7 linked regions of the Callithrix jacchus genome follow. The protein of the gene in region 7 interacts with the protein of the main gene of each other region in a pairwise test. Links are inferred from orthologs where the notes say so. Each region holds a gene or a part of one and is shown on either strand. Other genes may lie near its edges.

Evidence for each region.
Region 1: the proteins of BIRC2 (region 7) and GCC1 interact in binary tests that used the Homo sapiens proteins (3 or more experiments, as listed by UniProt). The two-hybrid records come from large-scale screens. The link is inferred for Callithrix jacchus from reciprocal best matches to the Homo sapiens genes BIRC2 and GCC1.
Region 2: the proteins of BIRC2 (region 7) and EXOSC5 interact in binary tests that used the Homo sapiens proteins (3 or more experiments, as listed by UniProt). The two-hybrid records come from large-scale screens. The link is inferred for Callithrix jacchus from reciprocal best matches to the Homo sapiens genes BIRC2 and EXOSC5.
Region 3: the proteins of BIRC2 (region 7) and PPM1K interact in binary tests that used the Homo sapiens proteins (3 or more experiments, as listed by UniProt). The two-hybrid records come from large-scale screens. The link is inferred for Callithrix jacchus from reciprocal best matches to the Homo sapiens genes BIRC2 and PPM1K.
Region 4: the proteins of BIRC2 (region 7) and NMB interact in binary tests that used the Homo sapiens proteins (3 or more experiments, as listed by UniProt). The two-hybrid records come from large-scale screens. The link is inferred for Callithrix jacchus from reciprocal best matches to the Homo sapiens genes BIRC2 and NMB.
Region 5: the proteins of BIRC2 (region 7) and HSP90B1 come close enough for resonance energy transfer, tested with the Homo sapiens proteins (2 studies listed by BioGRID). The link is inferred for Callithrix jacchus from reciprocal best matches to the Homo sapiens genes BIRC2 and HSP90B1.
Region 6: the proteins of BIRC2 (region 7) and NTAQ1 interact in binary tests that used the Homo sapiens proteins (3 or more experiments, as listed by UniProt). The two-hybrid records come from large-scale screens. The link is inferred for Callithrix jacchus from reciprocal best matches to the Homo sapiens genes BIRC2 and NTAQ1.

What each region holds. Positions count from the first base shown.
Region 1 is NC_133512.1:119,386,002-119,390,050, reverse strand, and holds the start of GCC1 (GRIP and coiled-coil domain-containing protein 1), read right to left. Parts: upstream 2,801-4,049; 5' UTR 2,399-2,800; coding exon 1,367-2,398; intron 518-1,366; coding exon 1-517. UniProt on the Homo sapiens protein: Probably involved in maintaining Golgi structure.
Region 2 is NC_133523.1:36,667,916-36,671,855, forward strand, and holds the start of EXOSC5 (exosome complex component RRP46), read right to left. Parts: upstream 2,801-3,940; 5' UTR 2,766-2,800; coding exon 2,618-2,765; intron 1,524-2,617; exon of another isoform or gene 1,331-1,523; intron 1,022-1,330; coding exon 908-1,021; intron 661-907; exon of another isoform or gene 618-660; coding exon of another isoform or gene 587-617; exon of another isoform or gene 1-586. Other genes in the region: BCKDHA (2-oxoisovalerate dehydrogenase subunit alpha, mitochondrial), read left to right, coding at 3,265-3,375. UniProt on the Homo sapiens protein: Non-catalytic component of the RNA exosome complex which has 3'->5' exoribonuclease activity and participates in a multitude of cellular RNA processing and degradation events.
Region 3 is NC_133504.1:109,410,003-109,413,502, reverse strand, and holds part of PPM1K (protein phosphatase Mn(2+)-dependent 1K), read right to left. Parts: intron 3,458-3,500; coding exon 3,313-3,457; intron 1,174-3,312; coding exon 1,039-1,173; intron 1-1,038. UniProt on the Homo sapiens protein: Serine/threonine-protein phosphatase component of macronutrients metabolism.
Region 4 is NC_133507.1:23,745,477-23,749,588, reverse strand, and holds the start of NMB (neuromedin-B), read right to left. Parts: upstream 2,801-4,112; 5' UTR 2,753-2,800; coding exon 2,596-2,752; intron 1,944-2,595; coding exon 1,771-1,943; intron 1-1,770. UniProt on the Homo sapiens protein: Stimulates smooth muscle contraction. Induces sighing by acting directly on the pre-Botzinger complex, a cluster of several thousand neurons in the ventrolateral medulla responsible for inspiration during respiratory activity.
Region 5 is NC_133510.1:106,876,481-106,880,592, reverse strand, and holds the start of HSP90B1 (endoplasmin), read right to left. Parts: upstream 2,801-4,112; 5' UTR 2,695-2,800; coding exon 2,646-2,694; intron 1,688-2,645; coding exon 1,585-1,687; intron 961-1,584; coding exon 819-960; intron 1-818.
Region 6 is NC_133517.1:73,988,315-73,992,549, forward strand, and holds the start of NTAQ1 (protein N-terminal glutamine amidohydrolase), read right to left. Parts: upstream 2,801-4,235; 5' UTR 2,693-2,800; coding exon 2,610-2,692; intron 1-2,609. UniProt on the Homo sapiens protein: Mediates the side-chain deamidation of N-terminal glutamine residues to glutamate, an important step in N-end rule pathway of protein degradation.
Region 7 is NC_133511.1:2,389,922-2,394,218, reverse strand, and holds the start of BIRC2 (baculoviral IAP repeat-containing protein 2), read right to left. Parts: upstream 2,801-4,297; 5' UTR 2,641-2,800; intron 2,324-2,640; exon of another isoform or gene 2,272-2,323; 5' UTR 2,153-2,271; intron 1,482-2,152; exon of another isoform or gene 1,459-1,481; 5' UTR 1,354-1,458; intron 1,311-1,353; exon of another isoform or gene 1,180-1,310; intron 1,078-1,179; 5' UTR 1-1,077. UniProt on the Homo sapiens protein: Multi-functional protein which regulates not only caspases and apoptosis, but also modulates inflammatory signaling and immunity, mitogenic kinase signaling, and cell proliferation, as well as cell invasion and metastasis.

The sequences.
Region 1 (4,049 bases), on a different chromosome or scaffold from region 7:
GCTCCTTCCCCAGATTACCATCTTTGGTATTCTTACTTTTTAGGACCACCTGGGCCCTCATCTTGTACCTCTCAAACTCTTCCTTCAGTTGTTTCAGCTCCTGTTGGTAATAGAGTGCAGTAGCCTTCTCCCCATCAGCAGTCTCCGAGCTGGTCATTATCTCCAGGTCACAGAGCTTCTCCACATCCAGGGTCACCTGGCTTTTCCTGGCTGCAACCTGCAGCAGTCTCTTCAGCTTCTCCATTTTATCCTTCAGGACATTGACATCCAGACTAGACTCCTCTCCATGGCTGTCTAGAGGGGACCTGCTGGAGGCTGCTAGAGCCAGTGTCTTGTTCTCCAGGTCCAGCTGCAGAATACGCTCCTTCAGCTTCTGGATGGCCAGCTGGTCCTTCTGCTTGGCTTTCTCGTACGTGCCCAGCAGCTCCGACACCTCAGATATTTGATTCTCCAGGGCTGCCACCCTCTGTTCTTCCACCTGAGATTGCTGACGGAGTTGATCCTCTGCAAGAGCTGTCTGCAAAATAAGGGAAGAGAAATAATGCATCCACAAAAGCCCCACAGCAAACTTTGAGAAAGCAGGACAGGGGAGCAAAAGGGTCACAGGATTGGAATGGCCTGACAAGAATGGGAAATAGGGATTTTTCGGTTGATTCAGGAGCTAACAAAAGTTCCTATGACCTGCCTGGGTTCTGCAAGACATATTATACTAAAAAATATTAAGCACCTTGGCATATCTGCCATTCCATTCTGCTTTCCACCTAACTCACATATAATGTGTGTCACTGTTGTTTTTCAGGTGCTTCCTCAAATCTTAAGAAATCATACAAGATTTTTCCTTATCTAATATTCCTAGTAGTTCAAAACTGAGCTGGAGCTCCCTCACCACATTGGAAGGAAGCCCCCTTTCTCCACCAGAAAGGAGGCCTATTCTGGAAAATAGCATTTCTCCAGAATAGGCAAATCTTAAGTAAAGGCAATGACAAGAGGTTACTTCTGAGAAAATCCCCCTTTGCCTTCAGCCACCCTCCCTAGCGGCACATACCAACAGAAAATACACTACCTTTTACTGTACAGCTGCCACTATACTGCTTCATAGAACACAGCTGGTAAGATGCCAATGCCCAGAAGGGCAGGGCTGACTGGCTCCAACCCAGCCTACACTGAGAAGCTCCACATCCTCCTGGAAGCTTCTACGTCAACACCACATAAAACAGCACTTCCCGGGACTCACCAGTGGAACTTTTCAGGTAGCATCAAAAATGACAGTACAAACACTTAGCTCTCACTAGCAAAGGAGGAAAAAAACCCTAGTATTTCCCACTTCAGATCAATGACTATGTTTGAAAGAGAGGTGGATAATTACCTTTTTCATTTCCTGCTGTAACTGGGCCTGGAAATGGCCCTTAAGGCGGGCGGCCTCTTCCTGAAGTTCTTGCAGCCGGGGGTCTGGCTGATTCTTCTCATCTCGAATGGCCTGCAGTTCACTTTTCAGCTCCTCCACCTCACGGGTCAGCTGCTTGGTCTGAAGTTCAAATCCTTCCATCTGTTCAGCTGCATATGATCGTCCTGCCAGGGCTTCTCGGGTCTCTTCTAACCTAAGCTCCAAGTCCTGGCGCTGGGTCCTCTCCTCCTGCAGCAGCTTCTGGAGCTCACGCAGCATCAAGGCATGGTCACTCTGCTCTTGGGCCCGATCATGCTGCTGCGTGATAAGCCGGGCTTTGGTTTCTGCTATTTGCTCCTGCAGCCCCTTCAATTCTCCCTCCAGGCGAGCCCTCTCCTCCTCTGCCTTGTTATTGGCATCCTCTAAGTCCTGTTTCATCTTTTTCTTGTCAGCCAGGTAAGAAGCCTCCATGCGGGACTTCTCCTGAGTGACTGTGGCCAAAGAACTGGTCAAAGTAGCCAACTGAGTCTTCAGCTGGTGCAGTCTTTTGTCCACCTCCCCACCCGCAAATGGCCCATCCCCACTGCTACTGCTAACACCACTCTCTGACCCACTGGCCTCTTCGGACTTCGGAGGTGGTGGTCCACGGGCTGGTCTGTCATCTTCTATCCCAAACTCGCCCTTGGTGCTGGTGAGACTGGCTGCCGTATCCACGCTAGTGGCGGTCCCAGTGCTATCCTCACTGTGAGTGGAGCACCGGTCATCCACAAAGTCCGGAAAGGCGACGCCTGGAAGCTGGACACCTGCGAGGCCCACATCTGCCTCGTGGGATACCGACAGCACCTTGATGCTGGCCTCTAGCGCCTCTTTCTCCTTCAGCAGGCTTTTATAGGCACGGACCACATCCTTGAGCCGTGCCTGGTACTGGAAAAGCTGCTTTTTCTGCGTCTCTATAGTCTCCAGCAAGTCTTTCTTGCTCGGGCCGCCACCGAAATTCATAGCAAACTTCTCCATGAAGGTTCTGAACGGACTGCTCCACTTCAGCTTTCCAGTAGCCCAAGAGAGGGCTGCGAAGAGGCAGGCAAGGGCTTCAAGAAACAGCCAGCGGGCTGTCCGGCGGCGGGCCGCACACCTGCTGCACCCAGTTATCCCGGACCTAATGCGGATAGGCGGAACCTACAGACAAAAGTGCCCGCCTGGTCCCAAGCCCGGAGGGTGGGGCGGGTACTACCCTGGAGGCGGGGCGACGCTGGCACCAGAGGCGCGCTCGGCCAGGGCTCGTCCGCGCTGGCCCAGAAGCCGCTCCACACTCTCCGCTCTGTCCAGGCCACAGGAGCCCGGGCCGGCCCCGCTCGGCCCACGTCGGTCAGGTGCTCACGCAGAGCGGCGTCCCATCACGATTTCCTAACTACAACTGCCTGCCCACTACCGCGCTTCCGTGTCCGCTGGAAGTGACGTCAGCTAGGCGCCGCAAGCCCCGCCCCCAGTGGGCGCGAGTTAGGCGGAGCCCAGTCCGCCAGTGGGTGGGCGCGGCCTGTTGAAAACGCAGTAGGGTAGCGAGCGGCCAACAGGTTTGGGAAAGGAGAAACAAGCAAAGCCGAAAACATCAGAGTGGTCTGGGTTTTGTGAGAGCGCCTAAGCTTGACCTCGGGCTACGATCAGCGAGCGACAGAGGGCAACGTCGCACAGCGTTCTTAACAAACACCTAGGTGAACGACGCATCCAAGGATTTGGGGGCTCAGGTCCCATATCCCTAAAAGGCAACAATTAAAGACTTGCATATAGACCGCGAAAACTGGAGTACTCTAGCACAAGGCTTGGCACCTAGTAGGTATACAGCGTAATAGTCAGTACGCTTCCTTAGTTCTGCTGAGTTGATTCAACAAATATTTATGGAGGGCACTCTATAGCCGTGTCTATCCTGAGTGCCAGCTATGTACAAGGAGCGCACAAGAGTTTTGCTATTTCGTCTTCACGATAATTATTATAAGCACTATTTTCATTAGCACTATTTTACAAATAGGGGAACATGAGGCAAAAAGTTATACGTAACATGCCCAAGACCACAGAGCTAAGAAGTTTAGTTCTATCTGAATCAGTCTGATTCTCAACGTATTATGTGTTGTACCAGACGATAACACCATTAAGAGATACGACCTTGCTTTCAGGGAACTCACAATCTAGTGAGGAACTAGACATGCAAACATGTCCTGCTATAACACCGGTATGTATTGGTATATTCAAAGTGGTAGGAAAGTTAAGAGAGGAAAGAGGCCTGGCTCAATGAAGAATGGAAGGCTCTTGGGAATAATACTTTGGGATTTGAAGTATGAGTCCTGATTGTCCACCTAACCAGAGATCAGGGAAACCAGCATTCCAGGCAGGTGGGAAAAAAATGCAAAGACCTGTAGGGTATCAGAGTTTGACTCACCCAGAATGCATTCAAAAGTTTAGGGTATGTGAAGGAGGGGACAACAGAGGGGCTGGCATGAGAGGCAGGGACCCAACTTATGGCATTTAAATTTTATCTTGGGTGATAGTAAGGCCCTAATGGATTTTAATCTGAAAAGTGGAATGTCATCAAGGTTTGTATGACATGGTGGAGGGAACAAGGGGCAGGAGACCTGTGAAGAGACTCAGTCATGGGGAAGAGAAGGTAGTGACA
Region 2 (3,940 bases), on a different chromosome or scaffold from region 7:
CAGTGGGTTGAGATCACACTATTACACTCCAGCCTGGGTGACAAGAGTGACTCCATCTCAAAAAAAAAAAAAAAAAAGGTGGGCTCTGTGGCTCATGCCTGTAATCCCAGCACTTTGGTAGGCTGAGGCGGGTGGATCACCTGATCAGGAGTTCAAGACTAGCCTGGCCAACATGGTGAAACGCTGTCTCTACTAAAAATAGAAAAATTAGCTGGGTGTGGTGGCTTATGCCTGTAATCCCAGCTACTTGGATGGCTAAGACAGAACAGTTTGAACCCAGGAGGTGGAGGTTGCAGTGAGCCAAGATCGCACCACTACACTCCAGCCTGGGCAACAGAGCAAGACTCCATCTCAAAAAAATAAAAAATAAATTAAAAAGGGCCAGGCGCAGTGGCTCACACCTGTAATCCCAGTACTTTGGGAGGCCGAGGCGAGCAGATCACCTGAGGTCAGGAGTTTGACACCAGCCTAGCCAACATGGTGAAACTCTGCCTCTACTAAAAATACAAAAAAATTAGCTGGGGGTGGTGGCAGTTGCCTGTAATCCCAGCTACTCAGGAGGCCGAGGTAAGGGAATCGCTTGAACCTGGGAGGCGGAGGTTGCAGTGAGCCGACATCGCGCCACTGCACTCCAGCCTGGGCAACAGAGCAGGACACCATCTGAAAAAAAAAGAAAAAGAAAAAGAAAAACGGGTTAATGGAATGAAAGGGAGATAAAGGCAGAGATAGGGAGAAAGAGAGACGGAGGGAGAAATTAGAGGCAGACAGAGAAGCAACAGAAGATGAGACACAGGGACAGAGAGTTAAAGAAACAGTGGAGTGGAGACTGGGGGCAGCTGGCAGGGAGGAGCCAGGGAGCGGTTCTGACAAACTGGGCACTCTTCGGAGGTTCAGCAGTGCCCATTACCAGGCAGCCCGATCTTCGGCCTCAGGATCACTTCGAGTGTGGCCTTGTTGAAGATCTCTTTGCTGACCTTCACCTCGGCCGGCCCGTACACACCCGCCAGGACAGAGGTGTCACCTGGGGAGACAGCAGGGGAGGCCTCACTCACAGCGGCTTCTGGGGCCCCATTAGTGGCATTGAGCCTGATGGCCAGGGCTCCCCACGCCACCCCCGCCATTTGTTGGCAGTGATTCTTGGAGCACTCACTTCACTTTTCTGCCTGCGAATCCTCATTTGTAAAATGGGGACAACAGCAGTCCCTCCCCTCTAGCGTCCGGTAAGGGTCAAAGGACTCAATTCACAGAGAACACTTCAGACATTGTGGGGCTCATGCTGAGTGTGCAACTGACTTTAGCTGATATTAGTAATAGTCATCCATTAAGGCATTCAGGCAGGGTCTCACTCTCCTGGCCCAGGCTGGAGTGCAGTGGTGCCATCATGGTTGATTGCAGCCTCAACCTTTTGGGCTCAAGCAATCCTACCCCCTCAGCCTCCAGAGTAGCTGGAACTACAGGCACATGCTACCATTCCCGGCTTTTTAGTAACACACTATAGAAATGATCCCTGAAAGTACAGTCTTCATTCCCGGCTTTTTAAAAAAATTTTTAATAGAGATGGGGTTTCACCATGTTGGCCAGGGCTGGTCTTGAACTCCTGACCTCAGGTGATTTGCCCACCTTGGCCTCCCAAAATGCTGGGATTACAGGTGTGAGCCACTGTGCCGGCCTAATTTTAGTATTTTTAGTAGAGAGGGGATTTTGCCATGTTGCTCAGGAGGGTCTTGAACTACTGGGCACTTGTAATCCCAAAGTGCTGGGATTACAGGTGTGAGCCACCATACCTGGCCCTGATATTAGTAACTTTTAACAGGAAGTCCTTCCTGAAAGCTAACCATCCTCCCCCTTACTGCAGCTGCTCTCAGCCTCCTGAGTAGCTGGGATCACAGGCACCCACCACCACACCCAGCTAATTTTTGTATTTTTAGTAAAGATGGGGTTTTGTATGTAGGCCAGACTGGTCTTGAACTCCCTACCTCAGGTGATCCACCCGCCTCGGCCTCCCAAAGTGCTGAGATTACAGGCGTGAAGCCACTGCGCCCGGCCTCCCATGTCAAATTTTAAAGAAAAATGTTCTTGGAGTTAATCTAGTATTGAGTGTTATTTAGCTAGGGGAAGGGCATATTTACCCTATAGGTAAGACTTGCTCTAACCTTAGGGATATTTACTCCTGTGGAGAGATGCAGTGAGGTGGCAGTGGCGAGTATTTATGTGGGTGAAAGATCCGTCACAGTCCAGAGTATTTGCAAATAGATAGGTTTGCGTCAGTCCGGGATGCATGGACCTAGAGTGTGTGTGTGAGAGGCGGAGGACGAATCTAGTTAAGGGGGATATTTACTCTGGTGAGGTGATTTTTCCTATTCTGAAATATCCATTCTTGGGGGGACGGTCTGCCCCTCTTCTGTTTCTCAGAGATATTTGCCAGGATGGAGCTATCTTCTCCTTTCTAGTCGTGAGGGAGAGATGTGTGTATCGCTGCGTATGTAGTAGTATTCAACCGGACAAGAAATCCTGCATCAGTGCAGGAGTGACATTTACCAGCTGGTAACGTGGGGAGGTGGACACTCAGTTGCACTGTAGTCTCTCTCTGAAAGAAAGACCAGCGTGAAGTTCTTACCTTGTAGGAAAGAAGCAGAGCCATCTGGCCTCGACAGCAGGTTCTGTTCGCAGGCAAAGTGCCGGAGGCTGCAGCCGGGACCCCGAGGGCTGGACCCTCTTCCAGTTTCAGCGCCAATTTTGGCTTCAGTATGCCTCTCCTCCTCCATCACGCCAGACTCCACGTGCGGCTGCGATTGTCACTTCCGCCCGACCGCGCGCGCTGCGTACAGGGTGCGTAACCAGTGCGCACGCGTTGGGCTGGGCAGTCAGCCCCGGCGTCCGCACGTGGCTTAGCGTTTACCAACAATTTGGCTCCGCCCTGACCCACCTCCTAACTCTGGCAACACCATTGGGCAGTTGAGAACAGGAGGCGGGCCTTGGCCTGGTCCTGTTTTACTCTGAACACCGGGCCCCTAAATCCCTGGGGCCTTGGTCAGGTTGCCCTTTATTTTTGCCTGTTGCAGGAATAACTACAGTGAGGCAATTGTAGAAAACTGTGGACAGATAGATTTTCTTTTCCAAATCTCTGTGCATTCTGTCTACCACAGGAAGGAAAAAAGGTGGTTTCCGTGTCAGATGGTCCTGGAGTTTGCGTCAGGCATATAAAGGGGGAGCCCGGAGTCCAGCCTACAAGAGGGCCGGACCGCTAAATGGTTGTTAGCTAAGATGGCGGTAGCAATCGCTGCGGCGAGGGTTTGGAGGCAAAGCCGAATCCTGGGCCAGGCTGCCCTCCTCCTGCTGCTGCGGCGGCCTGGGGCTCGGGGACTGGCTATATCTGTGAGTACCTGGTCTCCAGGACGTCTTCCCAAAGGGGAATAGGGATGTAAAGGCTATCTTCAGAGTGTGGGGTCCCTGAAAGATATGAAGGAAGGGCTGTCCCAGAAGGGAAAACGTGGGAGACCTCTTGGAGAAGACACCGAAGGGAAGCTCTGCCACTTCCTTAGGAGAGGAAAAGAACCTGATTGCAACTTCTTTGTGGGCCCTGAGGGAGAAAGACGACTTGAGAAGGATGGAGTTCCTTATCCGCTGTCTTCCCCTATTCAGGGCTCCTTGGAGGGACCGCAAGACCTTTTTCTCTCAGGGTTTGGAGAATGCAACTGACTTTGTAAGGGAGAGACTTTCTTCTGGGCAAAGATCCCTCTTCAAGAAGGAGAAAGAAGAGAGCAGGTCCCTGTCACAGGCTGCATAGGGCCCTGTAGTTCTTTGCTCCTTTGCCACAATTCTGATTTTAAAATGAAATGTGTAAAAGATTTGTTTCATTCCTGTGTCTTCTGTTCGAATATCAAGACAGGGAATTCGTGTGTTCTGGACACACTACAGAGGAAATGATTAGTATTTGTTG
Region 3 (3,500 bases), on a different chromosome or scaffold from region 7:
TGAATTATGTATAAGAATAAGATGGAACACTATGCATTCATTACAAATTTCATTGCCTTTGTGAATTAGAATGCAAATATCTACAAGACAGGCAGTTGAAATTGGGAAAAAAGTGTTCATCCATGGAATTGGGCCCATTTCCTCAATTTCATGAGCACCCTGGTTAGCACGGGTGAAGGCCATAACCAAATGAATAATTCATGTATTATGATGATGTTGCCCAACTATTTCCAAGCAAATAATACTTTTAAAGTAAGGTCTGTTATCTTATTTTGGGAAATGCAAAAATAGCTGTTGAATTAAAACATACTTTAAATAATACAAAGCACAGTTTAAGTTTTCTTTACTGGATATTACCCAGCTTTCTTCTAATTTTAGTTCTGACTGACACACAACCTCATCCCTATGCTTTTTTGTATTTTGGTTTATCTTTTCCACACACCCACTCTGAATAACCAGAAGATGACTATGCTATATCCTCAAGTTGGATATTTGCTTGGAGCAATGGTTTAATGGTCTAGTTTAATGGTCAGGTGGTTGGACTTGGGAACCTGGTTGTCTGGGTTTGAAGTCCAGTTCTGCAATTTAATAGTTTGGTGACCTTCAGTGAGTTACTTAACCGTGTAGCCTCTGTACCTGTTTTTCTCATCTGTGAAAAGGGACAGTAATAGCTCCAACTTAATAGGGTTATTGTGATTACCATATATGTAATTTTATATACTGTACAATACATTTAGTAATGAGTTAATATATACGAATACTGTGACACAGTAAGTGTAAGTGATATATTAGTTTACTACTATTATAATTTATTATTGCTGTTACTATCATTTCAAAGTATATACAAAGCCAAAGAATAAACAAAGCTCATTTCCTTGGCATATTAAAATTTTAACTTGGGGAAATAATAAAAATTTTATACTTGGAAATATTATGGAATCAAGTGTAAAATTCACTGCAACACTCAAAAGCTAAAACACAATGCCTGGGCTGTCCTTTCCTTCTCCTTAGACTCTTCAGGCAGAAGCTCTGGGTCACCTGTTCAGTCACTGCGTGGGCTGCTTCATTGGGATCGTGGCACTGATTGACAAAGTCACAAATCTCTTGACTATTCACCATGAAGTTAATTCCATCTGTGGTGAGGACCAGGAAGCTGTCATCAGCATGATGTAACTGCAATCAGAACCAAATGCCTATGATTATTAGCTAGACTCTGACTTAGAATAATCTTGCTAATTCGAATATTTTTATCTGTTTTGCTAAGTGGTCATCTGTGTAAGAGCTTGTAAGCTGATATGGTTTGGCCCTGTCCCCACCCAAACCTCATCTTAAATTGTAGCTCCCATAATTCCCATGTGTTGTGGGAGGGACCCAATGGGAGGTAACTCAATCATGGTGGTGGGGTCTTTCCCATGTCATTCTTATAACAGTGAAGAAGTCTCATGAGATCTGATGGTTTGTAAAGGGGAGTTCCCCTGCACATGCTCTCTTTGCCTGCAACCATGTAAGACATGACTTTGCTCCTCTTTCACCTTCCACCATGATTGTGAGGCCTCCCCAGCCTTGTGGAACTGTGAGCCCATTAAACCTCCTTGCTTTTAAATTACCCAGTCTCAAGTATATCTTTATCAGCAGTGTGAGAACAGACTAATACATAGGCAAACAGTGAAAATGTAAAGCCTATATGTTGGGCAAAAGTAGTAACATTTAGAATTAACCACCAAGGATAAAGCTAATATTTAATTAGTAAAATATAAATAGCACTTAATAGCAGAAAGTAAAGAGTAAAGAAGTTGCAATCCTCTGAAATCCGATCACCAGAGGTAATCAGTCCTAACCATTTAGCAAACACCCTTCAAGATATCTTGCTTTACTTGCATAATTTAACATTGTAAAGGGAGAATCCAGATAGTCCAATGCTGAGAGGCAGCTTGATGTAACAGTTGTGAGTGCTGTCTTTTAAGGCCAGGCTTCTAGGATTTGAATCTTGCCTCTATTTTTGGGCTGGGTGAGCAGAGGTGCATTGACCTCTGTATGCTTTAGATTTTCCTTGGAAAATGTAAATAGTAGTACTTATTTTGAAAAAAGTCTAGCACATAGTAAACTCTGCCTAAGTATCTGTTAGATAATATGAAGTAGGATATCTATAAGGCACAAAGTTGGATATCTACAGACTTGAAATCCTTCATGCAATTAATTAACAAGTGTTTGCTGCCAGTTTTGGAAGCCTACACTATACTGTACTAGGGACTATAGTGGCTCAGGAGTTTTAGAGAAGTGTCAGTTCATGGACTGGGTGTGTGCTGGGGGCAGTTAAGGGCAATGAGGACACTGATCAGTAGCATGCAAAGGATGCTGCAGAAGTAGAAGTGGGCAATTATTTGGTTTGGTGGAGAAGGGAAGTCAGGGCAGCTTCCATGTGGAGGTGATGTTGATTGATTGGGTGCAGTGATGCTGGCTGACTGGGTGCAGGTGAAGCTGGCTGATTGGGTGCAGGTGATGCTGGCTGATGGGGTGCAGTGCCGCTGGCTGACTGGATGCAGGTGATGCTGGCTGATTACGTACAAGTGATGCTGGATGATTGGGTGCAGGTGAGTAAAAGTAGGACCATTCCACCAGGAGAATTCCATAGCTGGAGTGAAACAAAAACCTAACACTTCTTCATACTGAGGGATACCAAAATATTTCTCTCCCAAATACTGAGGATTGCCAAAGTAACTGAAAAGGCAGGGGAACAACTTCCTGGGCCTCTATTTGCCTGGTGGCTGGAGACAGCACTTGTTTATCAGCCCAGAGAAGAAACCAGCAGGCACTAGAGAAATCTGGGAACAGGTTCTACTATTTCCACACATTTTTCTGCCTTTTAAAAGACTGAAAGTGTTCTCTTCTTTATCTTGTCCCTATGTAGGATTTGTGGCTCTTTGTTTAAATACTATTTAAGCAAAGCCCCTAAACCACTGCCTTGAGAGAGAAATACTTTGAACTGAAGCCTTTCCTGCACAATGGGTACAGCACGCTGAACCGTCTGCTTATTTGTAGTTGTTGTAGTTAATCTGACTTTTGTTTTCAATAAAGTGTCTCAGCTAAGAACCTAAAAAGGGGGAAAGAAATAATTTATGGTTTCTCCTCTACATTAGGCCAGAATAGTAGCATCTTATTTTAACTGAAAAGTTTTTTTTTTCTCCTTCCATATATTACTCCCTTTTAAAAATCATTTTGGCTTCAGTTAAGGCTTCCAAGAAAGCCTGCAGCGGAGGCATTCCTACATTCACTCTCTGCAGGTGCATCAAGTGCTTGCAGGTCCTTTCTTACCTTAATCCTCTTAGTTTCAGGTTCTGCTATGACACCACTGGTTTTAAGATCCAAATCTCCAATACTTCTTGTCATTGCAAGCCTGCCATTTACATGAGGCTGCCCCAAACTATTCCAAGCCACAAAACCACCACATTTCTTGATCCTGTTAAAAGTTAAATCACAATGATGTGATATGCAGAAAACCA
Region 4 (4,112 bases), on a different chromosome or scaffold from region 7:
CTCTGAAGCCCCCCAGACCTATGCATTGCTGCTTCTGAGATTCTCAATTGTTCTGCATGTGCCAGAGCTTCAAAACCAACGCACTAGAGGTGACACTGTCTCCCTTCAGTCTCAGCCAGCCCAAGCTCCTAGGCCTTACATCTGAGGTCCTCAGGAGCTGCTGGTTCTGTGCATCAGGAAGTCAGGGATGTTGGTTGAGGCTGGGGTTGGATCTTTTCTAGGGAATGCCCCTCCCTTCAAAATGCACGCATGATATGCTAGGCACAGTGGGGGGATATGAAGGTGAGTCCTCAACAGGTGCTGCCAGGGAGCTCACAGACTCGTATGAGCTCCCATTTACTAAGGACTGTATGAGCCAGGCACCATGCTGAGCATTTGACATCAATTGTCTCATTTAATGGGAGATGGGCCTTATTATTGTCTTCATTTTATTTATTTTTTTTTTTGAGACAGTTTTGTTCTTGTAGCCTAGGTTGGAGTGCAGTGGTGCAATCTCGGCTCGCTACAACCTCCTCCTCCTGAGTTCAAGCAATAGTCCTGTCTCAGCCTCCCAAGTAGCTGGGTTGACAGGCGCCTGCCACCAATGGCTGGCTAATTTTCATATTTTTTAGTAGAGATGGGGTTTCACCATGTTGGCCAGGCTGGTCCTGAACTCCTGACCTCATGTAATCCTCCTCCTGCCTCAGCCTCTCAGTATCATCTTCATTTTATGGATGAGGAATATGAGGCTTTAGAAAGGTTAAGGGACATTTCTAAGGTCACACAGCTACTAAGTAGCTAGGTTCTCAGCCCAGCACGTTGTAGTCAGAGCCCACATTCTACCACATTACACTGCCTTCTGCACACAGCAGCAGGACCAGGGAGGGTGCTGTGCAGTAAGGACAGCACCAGGAACAGGGAATGGAGGAGCTGCCACCCAACTGGGCTAGACCTGAAGGCTGGCCTGGCTCCAGCTTTGGGGCCTTGAATCCCATAGGTCAGTGACTGACAACCAAGAATGATTTGGGGCCTTCTCCCACAGCAGACATCTGGTGATGTCTGGAGGTCTTTTCAGTTGTCACAACTTGAAGCGGGGGGAAGGTGCTACTGGCATCTAGTGGGTAGAGACCGGGGATGCCATTAAACATCCCATGATGTGCAGGTCAGCCCTCACAACAAGGAATAATCCAGCCTAGAAAGTCAGGATGTCAGACGTATTGAAGTTGCTCAACTCTGCCACCGGATACTGAGGCCAATGAGAGCATGGGGAGAACTGAGGCAGATGAGAGCATGGGGAGAGCACCGGTTCACAGCTGGAAGGTGAACAAGGTCCAGACTCTGTCTTGGCTGCTGACTTCTCTTTCCCTCTCTGGGCCTCAGGGTCCAGTCCGGCCACAAACACACACAGGGCACAGCAAAGGTGAACTTGACTAATGCAGCACAGGTGGGACAAGGCTGTGTGCACTGGGAGAGAAAGGCCCTGTTTTAAGAGGCTGACGAGCCCAGTCTGTTTCTTTAGATTGGGTGATGAGTCAGGGGAACTTCTTTCCCTACTTCTTGCTCCGTGGGGTCTGCCGGGAAGGTCAACTTCCTTTCTTTGGACTGTTCCTCCTTTGAGCTCTGCCTCAAGAGAGAAAAGCCTGGAACCCTGGCTTTCTGGGGTCCACACCCATAATGTCCTGATCAGACAGTCACACCCTAATACAGTGCTGGGTGGTAATTCCACCCATGCAGGATCCAGGGATGGCCCCAGCTGGGCCATCCTGGCGTTGGAGTGGGGACCTGGCTCACCTGGATGTGGGGTGCAGGGCGGCTGAGGCTCACGCCTAGAGCCTTCTTTAGCAGGAGGCTCCTGAGCAGATCATGACTCAGCTGCAGTCTCTGGTCCCTCAGGGAGGTGTGGGAAGCTGTCCCCAATGGGAATGGGCTGGGAGGCTCCAGATTCTTCTTGCCCATGAAGTGACCTGGAAAGGAGGTGCCCAGGCACAAGGAAGTCAAGGAGTGAGGACCCTACCCCAGTGGGAAAGTTCCTCATCTCTCCCACAGTTCTGTTCTTGTGGCAGGAAGACACTTAACCTTCCTCCTCCTGGTTGTTCCACCTCACCAAGGAGCCACAAAAGTATCTGGGGGGTGGCAAAGCCTGCTCCCTCAGCTTTTCCCGAACAACTAGAGAGGATGGCACAGCTGGAAGGAGGGTGGTATGGTCCAGGGCCAGGGAGAAACTCTGCTAGTTGTGTGTCCTGCTTGGACAAGGGATGAGAAAGGGCAGAGTAGGAAGTGGAGTGTGTAGAGGGGCCTGGAAAGTGGAGGTGCAGCAAAAACACACGGGTGGTTAGAAGAGTCGGTGAAGTCTCGCCTAAGGTAAGGGGCACCGGCTGGCAGTGGGATTTAGGATCTAGCTAGCCCCATCCTGCCTTAAACTGGCTGTGCGACCTTAGCCAAGTCACTGACCTGTCGGGGTCTGAAGTTCACATCGATTAAATTAGATGAGCCCCAAGGTTCCCCACCTGTTCCGACACAAGTATCCGTGGCTGAGGAAAGGCCAGAGGGTTGAGAAGGAAATGGGGTCTGAGCAGGGTGGGGGACACTTGCTTGCCCGGTTCCCCTCAGACTTACCGGTGGCCCATAGGTTGCCCCGCGGGTGCACTCGGATCTTGCCGGCTCTGTTGCGGGGCTCCGGGAGATCCCAGCTGAGTGGAGCGACGCCGGCAATGAGCAGGGCGAAGAGCAGGAGGCCGCCGAGCAGCCGAGCGCCCCCCGCCCCCTGGGCCATAGCTGTGCCCCGGCAGCGGCTCGGTTCCGGCGCGCTCCACTGCAGCTCGGCTCCCGGGCCCGCCTTCGCTTCTTTTAAACCCGCGTCCCTGGGGGCGGAGCCTGCCCCGCGCGCCTGCCGCCGTCCCCACCCTCCCGCCCCAGCTGCTGGGTTCCCGGGCAGGGACACCCTCTTTGGGCCGCCCAGAGACCTGCACACCCGCACTCTGGCCCACACGCGGGCACCGCTTCCGCCTGGGGCTTCTGGCTGAAGCCCACCACCTTCAGGCTAAGGACTGGGTACTGGGCAAACAGAGGCCCAGCCCCGGAGGGGAAGCTGCTTCCCCCGGCCCTGCTTTGCCCCTCTCCCACGCCTTTTGGCCGAGCAGGTGCTTCAGCCCTCTGAGCCTCTCTTCATGAGGGTACAGGTCCGGCTAGGGGCCCTCCTCCCCCGTAACAGCCTTTTTTTTTTTTTCTGAGACAGGGTCCGGCCCTGTCGCCCAGGTTGGAGTGCGGTGGCGCGATCACGTCTCAACTGCAACCTCGACCTCCTGGGCTGGGCTCAAGCCTCGGCCACCTCAGAAGCTGGGATCACAGGCACACGCCACCACGCCTGGCTTTTTTTTTTTTTTTTTTTCTTTTTTTTTCAAGAGACCGGGTGTCGCTAGGTTGCCCAGGCTAACACAGGCATTTTTACAGTGTCCAGCCAAGTGCCAGGAACCAAAGGAGTTCCATAAACGAATCCCCATCACCTCCACCCTCTGGAGTAATCTGACCTCTGTTCACCTCGCGCTCTGCCCTCTCACAGCCAGCACCACAATCTGGAAATGTTCTGGTACACCATGGTACTCAGGATGGGAATGCGGAGTGATGAAGGGTGGGAAAGGGGCCGCTTCTGAGGAATGGGCATCCTGCCATAGGGCCTGGCTTAGGGGCAGGAAGGTGACCTCTGGGTCGGAAGTGCAAAGAGCCCTGGACCCAGGAGTCCAGGACCCGGGAGCTGTGACCCGGCTGAATAACCTCACTTTCTTCAACTGTAAAATGGGAATAACCACAGTGCCCTAATTATACTTTTACATGTTTTAGCGTAAGTACTCTGTGGCAGGAAGCAACAGTTCTGTAGGACCTGCCCTAACACCTGGCACTTTGTTCTCCCTAGGAGATGTCTGGATTTGTCTTGGAAAGAATGTCTGGATCAGTCTTGGAAAGAACGTCTGGATCAGCAGCATCATGTAATGAGCAGAGGAAGACACTATGCTCCAGAATAACACATTTATGTTTGCTTAATTAACTGAAACCCATTGTTCAGAGCACTGTGCTAGACACAAAAAGAGGAGAGACAGATAATTCCCTGCTCCATGGGAGTTAACCACCTCACTGGA
Region 5 (4,112 bases), on a different chromosome or scaffold from region 7:
TAGATTATCCTCAATATGCATTAAGACATTCAATTTTATGCCAAACCCATTTTATTTCTTCTCTGTACCTTATAAAAGCACTCTTTAAGGATTAAGACTTTATGGTATAGGAGTGGCATTATTCTTTTGATTAAAAAATAAATAAATAAAGCCTAGCTCTTTACACAAAGAACTGTGGCAACTATAAGGGATACATTAACTGGTAAGGGTAGTAACACTACTCACCTAACAGTGATCTTCAGGTATGCAATGCAAGAAGTTTAGTTTATGTGACTGCTCTTAGATTCACAACTTTTTTTTTTCTATTTTTAAGACAGAGCCTCGCTCTGTCACCCAGGCTGGAGTGCAGTGGCGTGATCTCAGCTCACTGCAACCTCCGCCTCCCGGGTTCAAGCGATTCTTCTGCCTCAGCCTCCTGAATAGCTGGGACTACAGGCGTGCACTACCATGCCTGGCTAATTATTTTAGTAGAGACAGAGTTTCACCGTGTTAGCCAGGTTGTTCTCTATCTCCTGATCTCGTGATAAGCCCACCTCAGCCTCCCAAAGTGTTGGGATTACAGGCCTGAGCCACCACGCCTGGCCTAGACTCACAACTATTATCAGGCCATGAACCTATTTGGAGGTAAAGAAAAAAGTACATGCCTGACACCCTCTTTCTCCCCAGATATCTACCAGCAATTCTTGGACTTATTAAGTATTTAAAGGTTGTTACTACTTACTTGGATACTACATTACTTTCACAGTAAATTATGCAAATTTAAGTAAACAAGTATGCCAACATACAGAGACAAAATACTCTAACCACATGTTGCTTACCTCTTTATTTTTATACAATGAATTGATGATCAGTTTCATCATTCTGTTAACTTCAGCTTGGAAGGCAAACTTTTCCGATTTCTCTCTAAGTTCTCTTATTTGTGATGCATTTAATCCATCCAACTGAATAGCTTCTTCCTCTCTAAGGAAATCAGATAAGCAAATACAACATGGCTTAGCTCCCTTCAAAACTAGAGAAACTATAATGAGAGCACAGTGGCCTCTGAATATTGTCTTGGGAGTTAAAATGGAAACCTTTATAAAATATTACTGATATACCATCTCATTATGTTAGCACAGCAGTAGGCTACCTTTTAATATTGCATTGGAAATACTGGGTTCTTAAAATTGTCAGAAAAATAAATCCCAACTTTTCATACTCATTTATCTTCCACAGTGAGGACTTCAAAACTGTCATTAAGTCCCAAGAGGCCAAATTTAAAAATACTGTTCAACTGACAGAAACCCCATTTTTAAACTTACGAGGTGTACACAGTTAATGAATACAAATCCAACTGAAAGTCTTTTCTAGTCTTACAAAGTTTATGGTGCTAGTATTCTGCAATATAGTTTTCAAAGGAATTCACTCAGTTTAATCACTCCCAGGTACAAGTTAGGAGGTATGTATGCAAATAACTCACCGGGTATTAAATACAAGGGTGTCAGACTTTATTTGGACTTTTGGAGAAGAGATACATCAGAAGTGACCATAACTCACAAGGTTCACAGGGCTTATCTGTGTAGGTAAGTTCAAATGAACACAAACCTCTGTACTACTTCATCATCCGTCCTCGAGCCTTCTCTACTTTTACCCAGATCCGCTTCTACTGTACCATCCACATCAACTTCATCATCAGCTCTGACCGACCCTGAAGAAAGATTTAATACGGGAAAACTCTTCAACATTGCACTTCTCCAAGGAGGATGATCAAATAGGGAAGGGTAGGGGTTGCAAAATTCAGTTGGTAAATAAGGGAGGTAGGGATGAAAGAGTGCACATTCCTTGGCTTAAACACCCAAGGTAAAGCCAAGACAGCACACCTATTTATAAGTTCAGATGCCGAGGTGCCCCGTAGATTCTGAAATACGGAGGCAGCCACCACTTCTAAACAGCGTGTCTCCGATCCTTTATAAATAACGTTAAGCAGACTGATGCCGGGCCTCTTTTACACCCACACGTGTTGCTCGCAGGCCGAGCCAAGGCCTCCCAACTGTCCAAGCCAAAACTTCGGCCTTCGTTATCACAGGTCAGAATACAAATAGGATTTATGCAACCTCTGGCGAAAGGAACTGAAATTGAGCCCAGAGGCATGAGAAGGGGTAGAATATTGTGAAGAACCGAGCTCCACCAAAACCGAATCAAACACGCTGACACTGCCATTCCGCTGGCCCCAGGCCTCACGCTCCCAACGCCGACATCTAAGAAAGGACAAGCGCTTGCGAGGAATCGGAGTCTGGGGAATTCGGGGTCGGGAAAGCTGGGTGCCCGAAGGTTGCGGTAGCCAAAAGAGTCCTTCTGGGTGGGGGGGACTCGCACAGCTCCCGCGGGAGCCCGAGCCCCAATGAGGCCCCTCCCCGCGGTCGCTGAGACCTCTGGGCGAGATACTATTAGACCTGCAGGGAACTTAGATAATTCTATTCTCTTTTCTTAATTCCAAAGGAAGAGAATAAACGTAATCCCCTAGTCCTCTTTCGAGGAAAGGCGACGTCCCTTGGCCCACCGCAGGCCCTGAGATCTCCCTCCTCCCAGGTTCAATGCCCCCAGAACCTTCGAGAAGCGGCCGCGCGTGTGGAGGGGGGGGCGTCTGCTCCTCTAGAATCACTCACCGAAGGTCAGCAGGACGCAGCAAAGGCCCAGCACCCACAGGGCCCTCATGGCGTGCGGCCGGTGAGTCTCAAGTCCCTTCCGATAGCAGGAGCCGCCTCCACCCCCCAACCCTGGAGCTAGATCCTCACACCTCCGGCCGTGCGGTCCGCCCACTACACCCCAAGCAGGTCGGGCCGCTTTTCACCCCCACTTCTCGCGGGCGGGGGTTGGGACACACGAACCTACCAATCGCGCCGCACCACGCAGTCACGGCACCCAATGGGGACTCGTGGGGGGGACGGAAGTCCACCAATCGCAGCTGTCCAGGTGCGGTGACCGCTGCCCAAAGCGTGGCTCCTTCCGATTGGTCAGGGTTTGCAGCTCTTCTCCAATCAAATGGTTCCGCGGGCCCCTCACACGAAGGACCGCCCCTTTGCCTGGGAGGCCTTGGCCTCTAAGGGAGACCGTCCAATGAACGTAGGCACAGAATACGTCCATCCTTTTCGAGAGGTCGCGGCGGAACTACTTCCGGATCCTAGAGAGCGTTTATTCCGTGACCGGGGAAACGGTAGTCGTGGCAACGCGTTCTTCACCCTTTCCCAACTACGACTGGGGTTACGTTGGGAGTGATTCCAGCAAGACTTTCGCGGCCAGCTTTTTCGTGTAGCGGCGCTTCTCAGAAAGGAGAAACACACGAGAGAGGTTGAAAATCCCTAGAACGCTTTCGGATGGAGGCGGTTAGAAACTACAGCTCCCGGCATGCAACATCCTCGGGGGGTACACTGCATTGAATGCTGGGAATCGTAGTCTTTAGTTTCTGGACCAGCTGCGTAGTTTGGCACTCTTCATTTTCTCCCAAAATGTTGCCGCCGGAGCCCTATCCTGCGTCTTAGATTTTACATCTCGTTCTGATTACAGTAGAGATCTGTGGCTATTCCAGGAGCTTTTAGAAGCGCGCTTGGAAAGCCGCCACGCCTAGGCCAAGGCCGCCCCGTTCCGGGGAGATCGCTCCGAGTCCCTCCGAGTCCCTCCGAATCCCTCCGACTCTAGAGCTCGCGTTTCCGAATCCGCCTACAAGTGCGTTACTCTGGCCGCCCGAGCCGTTACCTCCTCTGCTCCTTTCTGCGGCCAGAATCCCCAGGCCTCCCTGATCTGGTTTACAGAAGTGCGTGGTGGGGACCTTCCCGACTACACTAGAGGTATCGCGAGCAGCTCTGAGGCTTTCAACTCTCCGGTAAAACACAAAGGCTGCGGTGATATGACGGTCTTAGAACCCCTGCTGTGGAGAGCAGGGTGGAGAAGCGAGCCTAGCACAGAAAAGGAAAACCCTTCGTTTAACGAGTTCAGGAGGATGCACCTGCAGATATTTGAAAGCAAAACCTGTGGTGCTGCACATGAGAACGGGATTGCAGCTTTGTAACTTCATAGAAATACCCTGTCCGCGTTCAGAAGGACATATAAAACACCAGGTGTCTTTCCTGTGAGGG
Region 6 (4,235 bases), on a different chromosome or scaffold from region 7:
TCACCAAGCACAGGAAAGGCACTACTGACCCAGAAGTAAACAGGAGGCATTCATTTCAAGTTAAAAAACCTGCAGGATGGCCGGGCACCGTGGCTCACACCTGTAAACCCAGCACTTTGGATGGGTGGATCACCTGAGATTGGGAGTTCAAGACCAGCCCAGCCAACGTGGTGGAACCCCGTCTCTACTAAAAATACAAAAATTATCTGGGCGTGGTGGTGGGCACCTGTAGTCCCAGCTACTGGGGAGGCTAAGGCAGAAAAATGGCTTGAGCTGGAGAGGCGGAGGTTGCAGTGAGCCAAGGTTGCGCCACTGCACTGCAGCATGGGTGATAGACTGAGACTGTCTTAAAACACACACACACAGCTGCAGGAAGTAGTGTGGTGTCCTACCTGATGTGTTCAGACAGGGTAGAGAACTGGTTCTCAGCAAGAGGTGATTTTGCCCCCCAACCCCTACAGGACACTTAGCAATGTCTGGAGACATCTTCAGTTGTCACATCTAGGGCTGGGGTGGTAACAGCATCTAGTGGGTAGGGGCCAGGGATGTTGCTACACATCCTGCAATACACAGGACAGCCCCCACAGCAAAGAATTTTCATGCTCAAAATGTCACTAGAGCCAAGGCTGAGAAACCCTGTGGTAGAGTGGTCATCTCTTACCATTCTTCTACAAGACTGCTTTACTTCAGTACTCCAATTGTACCAGCCTCTGAGCTGTTCCTATCATACTCACAGCAGGATTCCTTCTCAGAGCCTTTGTACCTGCTATCCTCCCTGCTTAAATAACCATTCTTCAAAAGTTGCAAAGCTCTCACCCTCTTTCTTCAGATCTCTGTTCAAGTTATCACCTGATAACAATGTCTTCTCAAAATATCGTAATAGAAAATAAGTCACCATGCTTTATCTTATTTTTCTCACAGCACTTACCACCACCCAAGCATTGCTTACTCATTTTTGTCGTTTTTTGTTTAGTTTCGAGATGGAGTCTCACTCTGCTGCCCTGGATAGAAGGCAGTGGCACTGGCTCACTGGAACCTCCACCTCCTGGATTCAAGCAATTCTCCTGCCTCAGCCTCCCAAGTAGCTGGGATTACCAGCACCCACCACCCTGCCCAGCTAATTTTTGTATTTTTAGTAGAGGCAGGGTTTTTGCTTGTTGGCCAGGCTGGTCTCAAACTCCTGGCCTCAAGTGATCCACCCACCTCTGCCTCCCAAAGTGCTGGGATTACAAGCCTAAGCAACCACACCTGGCCTTGTCTGCTTTTCTCTCATCAAAATATAACAAGAACTTCATGAGGGAATTTGTCGATTTTGTTCACTGCTATAGTCCCAGTGCCCAGAAGTGTACCACATATTACCAACTGCCTAACAAACATTTATTGAAAGAACGAATAAAACAATGAATGGACATTAGGGAGGAGAACTAAAAGGATTTAGAAGAGAGGCAGGGCAGAAAAACAGTGCAACAGTTAAGACACATGAACTTCAGAATCACAAAGAGGTTCCAGTTTCAGCACCACCACTTGCTAGATGTATGATCTGGGGGCACACAACAGCCTCTCTGTGACTCAGGCTTTTTATTAGTAAAATGAAGATAATGATAATAAAAGAATTTACCTCCTGCACATCGATGGAAGCACCTGGCACTGAGCCTGACATGCAATCAGGGCCAAACAAATGCTAAGCTCTTGGTGGCATTGGTTTAGTGACCAGCAGAAAGGGGAGGAGTAATTTTAGAGAGCCCTGAGGTTTCCTGTGCAAGGACTGGAAGCTGGGGAAGAAGCCATTACTCAGGCAAGAGCAGGTATCGGAATCAAAAAGTACCAAGGCAGGGGTGGTGCTTCAGCTGCAGAGGTGGCCTAGGACAGAAATGCAATGCGTGGACTCCAGGGCCAGACTCTGCCTGTAAATTCCCACTCCTTCATTCACAAGCTACGTGGCCCTGCGCAAATTACTTGTAGCCCTCTGTGCTTCAGTGCTCTCATCTTTTAAAATGAGGATAACAATACCTACCTCTTAGGGTGACTGTGATGCTCAGTGATTTATGTTACCCAAACTACCCAGAATAATGCGTGGCCTAAAGCAAGCGCTGTGTAAATGTAACCATTATTATAATGACAACACGGTTAAGATCATGGTTTCTGACGTCAGGGAGCCTGAACTGGATTCAGGGTTATTAGCTGGGTGACCTTGGCAAGTTACACCAAACTCTCTGTGCCTCCATTCTCTTCCAAAATTAAAATAGCCTTCACCTAAGTCCTAAACCCCACAAGCTTCAGCAGAGTAACTTCCAAAGGTTTTCAGAGCTCCACCCCTGCCTTGCCCCCAAGCAGAGATCTGCAGAGCAAATCCAACCCACAAGCACCAAGCACAGGAAATGCACTAACGACCCTATGATTCCGGAGAATTCCCAACCCCATCCAATAGCCCACGCTCTACTCAAGAGACGAGAGCTGCCATTCCTGCTCCCTCCTCCCGCAGAAACTGTAGAACCCGCCGGTCGAGGCCTGGAGCGCCCGCGAGAAGGGGCCGGGAAGAGGAAAGCCACGGTTGCGACTCGCGGCCCAGGAGCCGGGGAAACCCGGAGGCTGCGCCCGCGTCTCCTCACCAGTAGCAGCTGCTGTAGACACAGGCGTCCCGCGGGGGGCTGGCCGGCTGGTACTGGGCGGCAGCGGGGCCATTACCCTCCATGGCCGGCTAGCTCAGCCAGGGCCCCAGCCGCAGGAAGACCGACTGGACCTGACGTAGCAAAGGAAGGGGCTGGCGTGCAGCGGCCCGCACGCGCACCCAGGGCGGGATGAGCGGAGCGCGGGGCAGCCGGGGCAGTTTCTGGGTGGCGGGGCCAGGAGCGCGGTGGGGCGTGGCCAGCAGCCTGAGTTCCCGGCGCGGGAATCCCGGGACGAAGTGGGCGGAGCTCGGGGCGAGCGGCGCAGGTTCCTGGGAGGGTGGAGCCCGAGCTAAATGGGCGGGTCGGGGGTGGGGTGAGTGGCGCGAGCTCCCAGTGGACGGAGCCCCGAACAAGGACGACATCGTGGTTCCGGGTAGGCGGAGCCCGGATGGTGGGTGGAGCCTGGGGTGGGGAGGGGCGGGGCCGCGTGTTGTGGTGGGCGGAGTCAGGGGCGGGGTACCGGTGAGGTTCGGGAGAAGTGGGGTCTCTGGCGACGACCTGAGGAGGAGCTAGGCTTGGGCTTGAGTTGGGCCCTGAATAGCGCTTCGCTGAGTCTCCCCGGAGAGGCTCTTCCAACCTGGGATGCGCTTCTGCGCTGTGGAGGAACCAGGTGAGATACTGAAATAACAGAGGTTTGGGTATGAAAATCCACAATTCAGCACTCAGCCTGGAGTCCGCGGGAGCCCAGAGAAGACGTGGGGCGTGAAGGGTAATTCCAAATATGACCTCATCGAGGACGCTTTCCGAAAAGGATAGCACCCCAAATCTCACTCTATTGTAACTTAATTTTTTTAATTGGAAGACCTATATCTACTGGCTCGAAAAGGTATATTAATTCCCTGATACAGTAAATTTTAGAAGTTTAAAGAGTTCATATGGTATCCTTTATGTGTTAATCATATATTTGTTCAATTACTGGCAGTCTGGAAGAAAAGACATCATATTGTTAAAATAGTGTTTATCTCTGGTGAATGAATGGTATTAATATCAGGGACTTTAAGTTTCAAGGACTTTCACTTTACACTTTAGTCTTCTGAATTGTTCATATTTGCAATGAGCATAGATAGCTAATGGGGGTACACTTCTCATTATAAAAACTGAGATGTTACATTGATTTTAGCTATCCACAGTCGGATTCTCCAGTCTCAGGAGTCTCAAAGCTGATAAATCCTAAAGACCGAGCATAGTTCCTGTCAGTTACCAATTTTATTGCCTCTCAGCTCTTAATACAAACTTCCACATAGCCTCTATGCTAAATAACAACTCTGGTAAACGTTTCTCCTTTAAAATGAGTGGGAAACCCTGCAAGCTAGAAGGGATTGGGGCCCTATCTTTAGTCTCTTCAAACAAAATAATTAGCCAAGAATTTTGTATCCAGCAAAACTAAGCATCATATATGATGGAAAGATACAGTCTTTTCCAGACAAATGCTGAGATAATTTGCCACTACCAAGCCACCACTACAAGAACTGCTAAAAGAAGCTCTAAATCTTGAAAAAAAAGTCCTGGAAACACATCTAAACAGAACCCCTTTAAAGCATAAATCACAAAGGACCTATAAAACAA
Region 7 (4,297 bases):
CTACTTAGAACACGACTCTTTGGGGTTATAGTCACTCTTTTAGGCAACCTAAGTGCTATTTGTTCATAATCTGTATAATACTAACGAAAAGCTCAGAAAAAGTCAATGCACTTCTGAAAATGTTAAAACTCCTTGATTTTTCAAAGAGATTTATATTCTCAAAATTTTAAGCAACTATAGAATACCTAAATTATGCCTTTTATTTATGTTTGGTTACAAGCTATTAAGCCTGGATAACAGGACAATTACTGAATTATGCCACAAGGTAAGAAATTATATGCAGGCATCTTTCCCTATATGCATTTTAATATGACAACCCCCCAAAAATCTCATTTTATTCCAATAAACAAAAGTAATTAAAATCTTCATATGGTCACACTACTTAAAGGCTAAATTCACACCCCTTATCATCAGAGTATTTACATAAGTGGGCTATATTACTTCAGCTGACAACTTTTGGGGAAGCCAACACCCACAAGCTTTGCTGAACCTGTGCCAGTTACAGTGTTTGATGTCAAATGAACTTTGCTTAAAGTTCACAGACTGTAAACTCTTCTATCTTAGTTAAATATCATTTGTATTTGTTTCCATTTCCTGCAGCATCATGTGGACTTTCTGCCTAACTTTGTATACAGTTTTATTATTCTTGATTAACTAAAGGTATTTTCTCCATAAACTTAGTTAACTGTAAAATTTCCAGAGCACACTTTTTACACTGCATTTAAAAGCTAAATAACCTGTACATCATTTAAGGACGATTCAGCTATAATTATCAGTCATGTTGTAATTAAACATTACTCAATTTGTCACAAGATGTAACCTGCCCTTTCTAGTGTTATCAGAAATGCCTAACAAAATATTCTATTACCGAAAAAGTACTGCTTAGCATAATGTATCAATAATCAACTCTACTAGCCTTCTTTCTGAAATCAATGTTTTAAAAATACAATTCATACACAAAATTACACTCCATAGAATTCAAACTATATCCCTTTATAAAGTTTCGAGGTCTTCATAATGGGATTTATTACTGCAGGGGGAAAAATAGGGAGAGGGAGATTCTTCAGGGCTGTAAATCTGAAAAGAAAAAACAAAAGGTATTTCAGAAAACTGTATTTGCATGGCAAATAGAACTTATATACTCTTCAATTTATTCAGTGAAGTGAAAGAATAATTTACACTTTAGATAATACATCTTGGCGGGGCGCAGTGGCTCACGCCTGTAATCCCAGCACTTTGGGAGGCCGAGGTGGGCGGATCACAAGGTGAAGAGATCGGGCCATCCTGGTCAACATGGTGAAACCCTGTCTCTAGTAAAAAATACAAAAATTAGCTGGACATGGCGGCGCGCACCTGTAGTCCCAGCTACTTGAGAGGCTGAGGCAGGAGAATTGCTTGAACCCAGGAGGCGGAGATTGCAGTGGGCCGAGATTGCGCTACTGCACTCCAGACTGGCGCCTGGCAACAGAGCAAGACTCTGTCTTAAAAAAATAATAATAATAAAAGAAAAGATTATACATCTTAATTCCAGCAATTTGTCACTACAACTTTCTAACTGAAAAAGTACTTAATTAAAATAAATAAATGCAATATACTTCCCAGAGCACTAACTATACTGTCTTGAAAATGTACAATTTTGAAGGCAAATGGACATTTTCACAGGAAAAAACATTTTGTCCTTGCGCTCCTCTCCTTTTCTGACCTAAGTTATCTCTGGCACTCTCCTGGAGGCAAAGGAACGTTGGTTAAAAAGACAGGCAGACACTCCACTAAACCCGGTGAGCAGCAGTACAGCAGTAATTAGACAGCAACGTTAGTGTGTAAATATCAAGTCTCTGCACGACTAGGAAAACTGCAGTAAAACAGGAGCTCATTAATATAAACCCTTAAACGCCACCATTCCCTTACAATTCCAAGGCAACAACCGCAGAAAGCAACTCGAAAACAAAACCTAACACGATGGGCTGTGAAACAGTGGTCCTGGCACGGTGACCACTGCCGTGACGGCTTTAATTACACCCCGTCTCATAGCCTGTCTTTAAATGAAAGATTTGTATCTACGAGCACCACACTGCTGCATTCTCTTTATGCAAACTGCAGCGGGGCAAGGGGACAGGGCGGAAAGGAAAGGAATAGAAGCTATGGGATTTACCCAATACTTTCCCAGAGCTGTTCCTCACAACACACCGCAGGCGACTACCGGAGTGACAGCGCAGTGGGAACTATGAAATCTGAGATCTCGGCGCCACCGAAATGTCTTCGTTTCCATGTCTTCCATTAAAAGAAAGCCGAAAGCTAAGTTTAAAACCTTGCAAAAAAAAAACTGCGAGAAAACATCTTGGTCAAGGTCCCAGGGCCAGAAGAGTGGGCGGCGGCCAGAGGAGGCTTGAAAACAAGTCCTATTTAAAAAATCGCTTTGACTGCAAGTCTTGAAGTTGGGGCTTCCGAATCAAATAAAACCTCGGTGAGAGTGGAAAGCACAGAACCCCCGGCGACCCTCAACCTTCGGCCGACGGGCCCCAGGCCGCGTCCTTCCTCCCGCAGCCACCACATTAGGGAAGTGGGCCCCCGCGGGCCCGCGCGTCCCCACCCGTCCCCACCCGTCCCGCGCCGCCCGAGCCCGGAAGGAGCAGCACTCACCGCAGTGCGGGCGCAGCAAACACGGAAGCTGCGCGGCTACCGAGAGGCCTCCTCAGAGCCGGGAAGCGGCGGCGCCTACTAGGAGATACGGCCAGCTCATCTCGTATCAGCCCCCGCGCTCCCGAAGCCCGCCGCCCCAGCCGGGCCCACGCCGACGCACGGTGACGTCAGCACGCCGGGCCGGGGACCCGCGTTAGCCTCCGCGGGAGGGCGCCCGGGAGGCCGGGGCGGGAAAGCGAAACCCAGCGCGGGTTAGGCGGTGAGGAGACAAACCTCCGGGAAAGACGCCGGGTGGCCCAGGGAGGCCCGGCGCCAGTGAGCGCCCACGGGAGTCGCCGGCTGGGTTGTCAGGGGAATGGGGCTATCCGAATCAACTCGGTGTTTGTTCGTTTTATTTACCTTGCGGTGTGTGCCCCTCACATTTCCTTTCTCTCTGTGGCCACCATTCTCCTGGGGGACGTGGCAGAACGTGAGCCGCTGCGTTTGAATCTGCGGAAACACCCTGGCGCCGGTGGTTTTGCGCGTCCTACCATGTGTCATCTCAGGGCTGTGGCCTGGCCCTGGCAAGGCCCCCCCCCCAGTGTGATGCCTTCCCTCGTCGTCGAGATGACTGGATTTTGACGATGGAGTCGGTCTGGTGGCATATTTTGCTTAAGTAAACAATCGTAACTGTGTAGCATCGATGTCCAACGGTTGGCTGTGCAAATCGAAAACAGCGAAGCGTTGGAAAGTAGGAAGCATCCGATGAATAATTGTGAAGACTTAACAATTGTTTTATGATCAACTAGAGTATCTTGTTTTTAAACTTTTGGTTTTCGGTTCTGGAGACCAGCAGTGCATACTGAAATCACGCTCTGAGGAAAAGTGTCGGTATTTCAGATGCTCCTTGCTAGCGACGGGAACTGTATTGCAAGCCAGGCTTCACGCTCCGGTGTTTTCTGAGTTTCAGTAAAATGAAAGACATACTCCTGCCTGTATGTTGGTGTACACGCACATATAATTGTACATAAACCATAGAGGAGCCCAATTTTTTTTTAATGCTTAGGTAATAGAAAATTTGTAGATAAAAACCCTTGGCTTTTACTAGTCATGGACCGTTTGTGTCCACCTCCATGCTCCCTCAGTGGTGCCATAGACACAATGGCATGCAGTAAATGTTTTTGGTATGACAGCCAAAGACTTTTGAAGTTGACGCTCTTTGCCCATTGAATCTGATGCTTGCTTCTCTCTGGGGAACTCCAAGGGACAAACATTTTAAAAACTTCCAAATAGCAAGCCACTTAATTAGGCAGCCGGGGGAATTCCGAGACCCTGAACCATTTCCCATTTCCTGTCCGTGTCATTTCTGCCTGCCAATCAGTCACAGAACAGGAGGTCTTCTGTTCCAATGTTAACAGTCAGAGTAAGTGAGTGTAACAGTTCGTAATACAGAAAAAAGAAATGCCATGGCTCCCAATGACTAAACACATCCAAAAATACAGCTGGGGCTTGGTAGTAGTTTAGTATTTAGTTGAAGTCACTATTTCTCGGAAAGTTACAGAACATTCCTAACATGTGGGAAAATACATATAACAAGAATTGTTCATTCTGAACTCAAGATTATTTCTCTTTTTCAGTTCTTGTCCTGACCAAAACAGTAAGATAATGAATATACTTA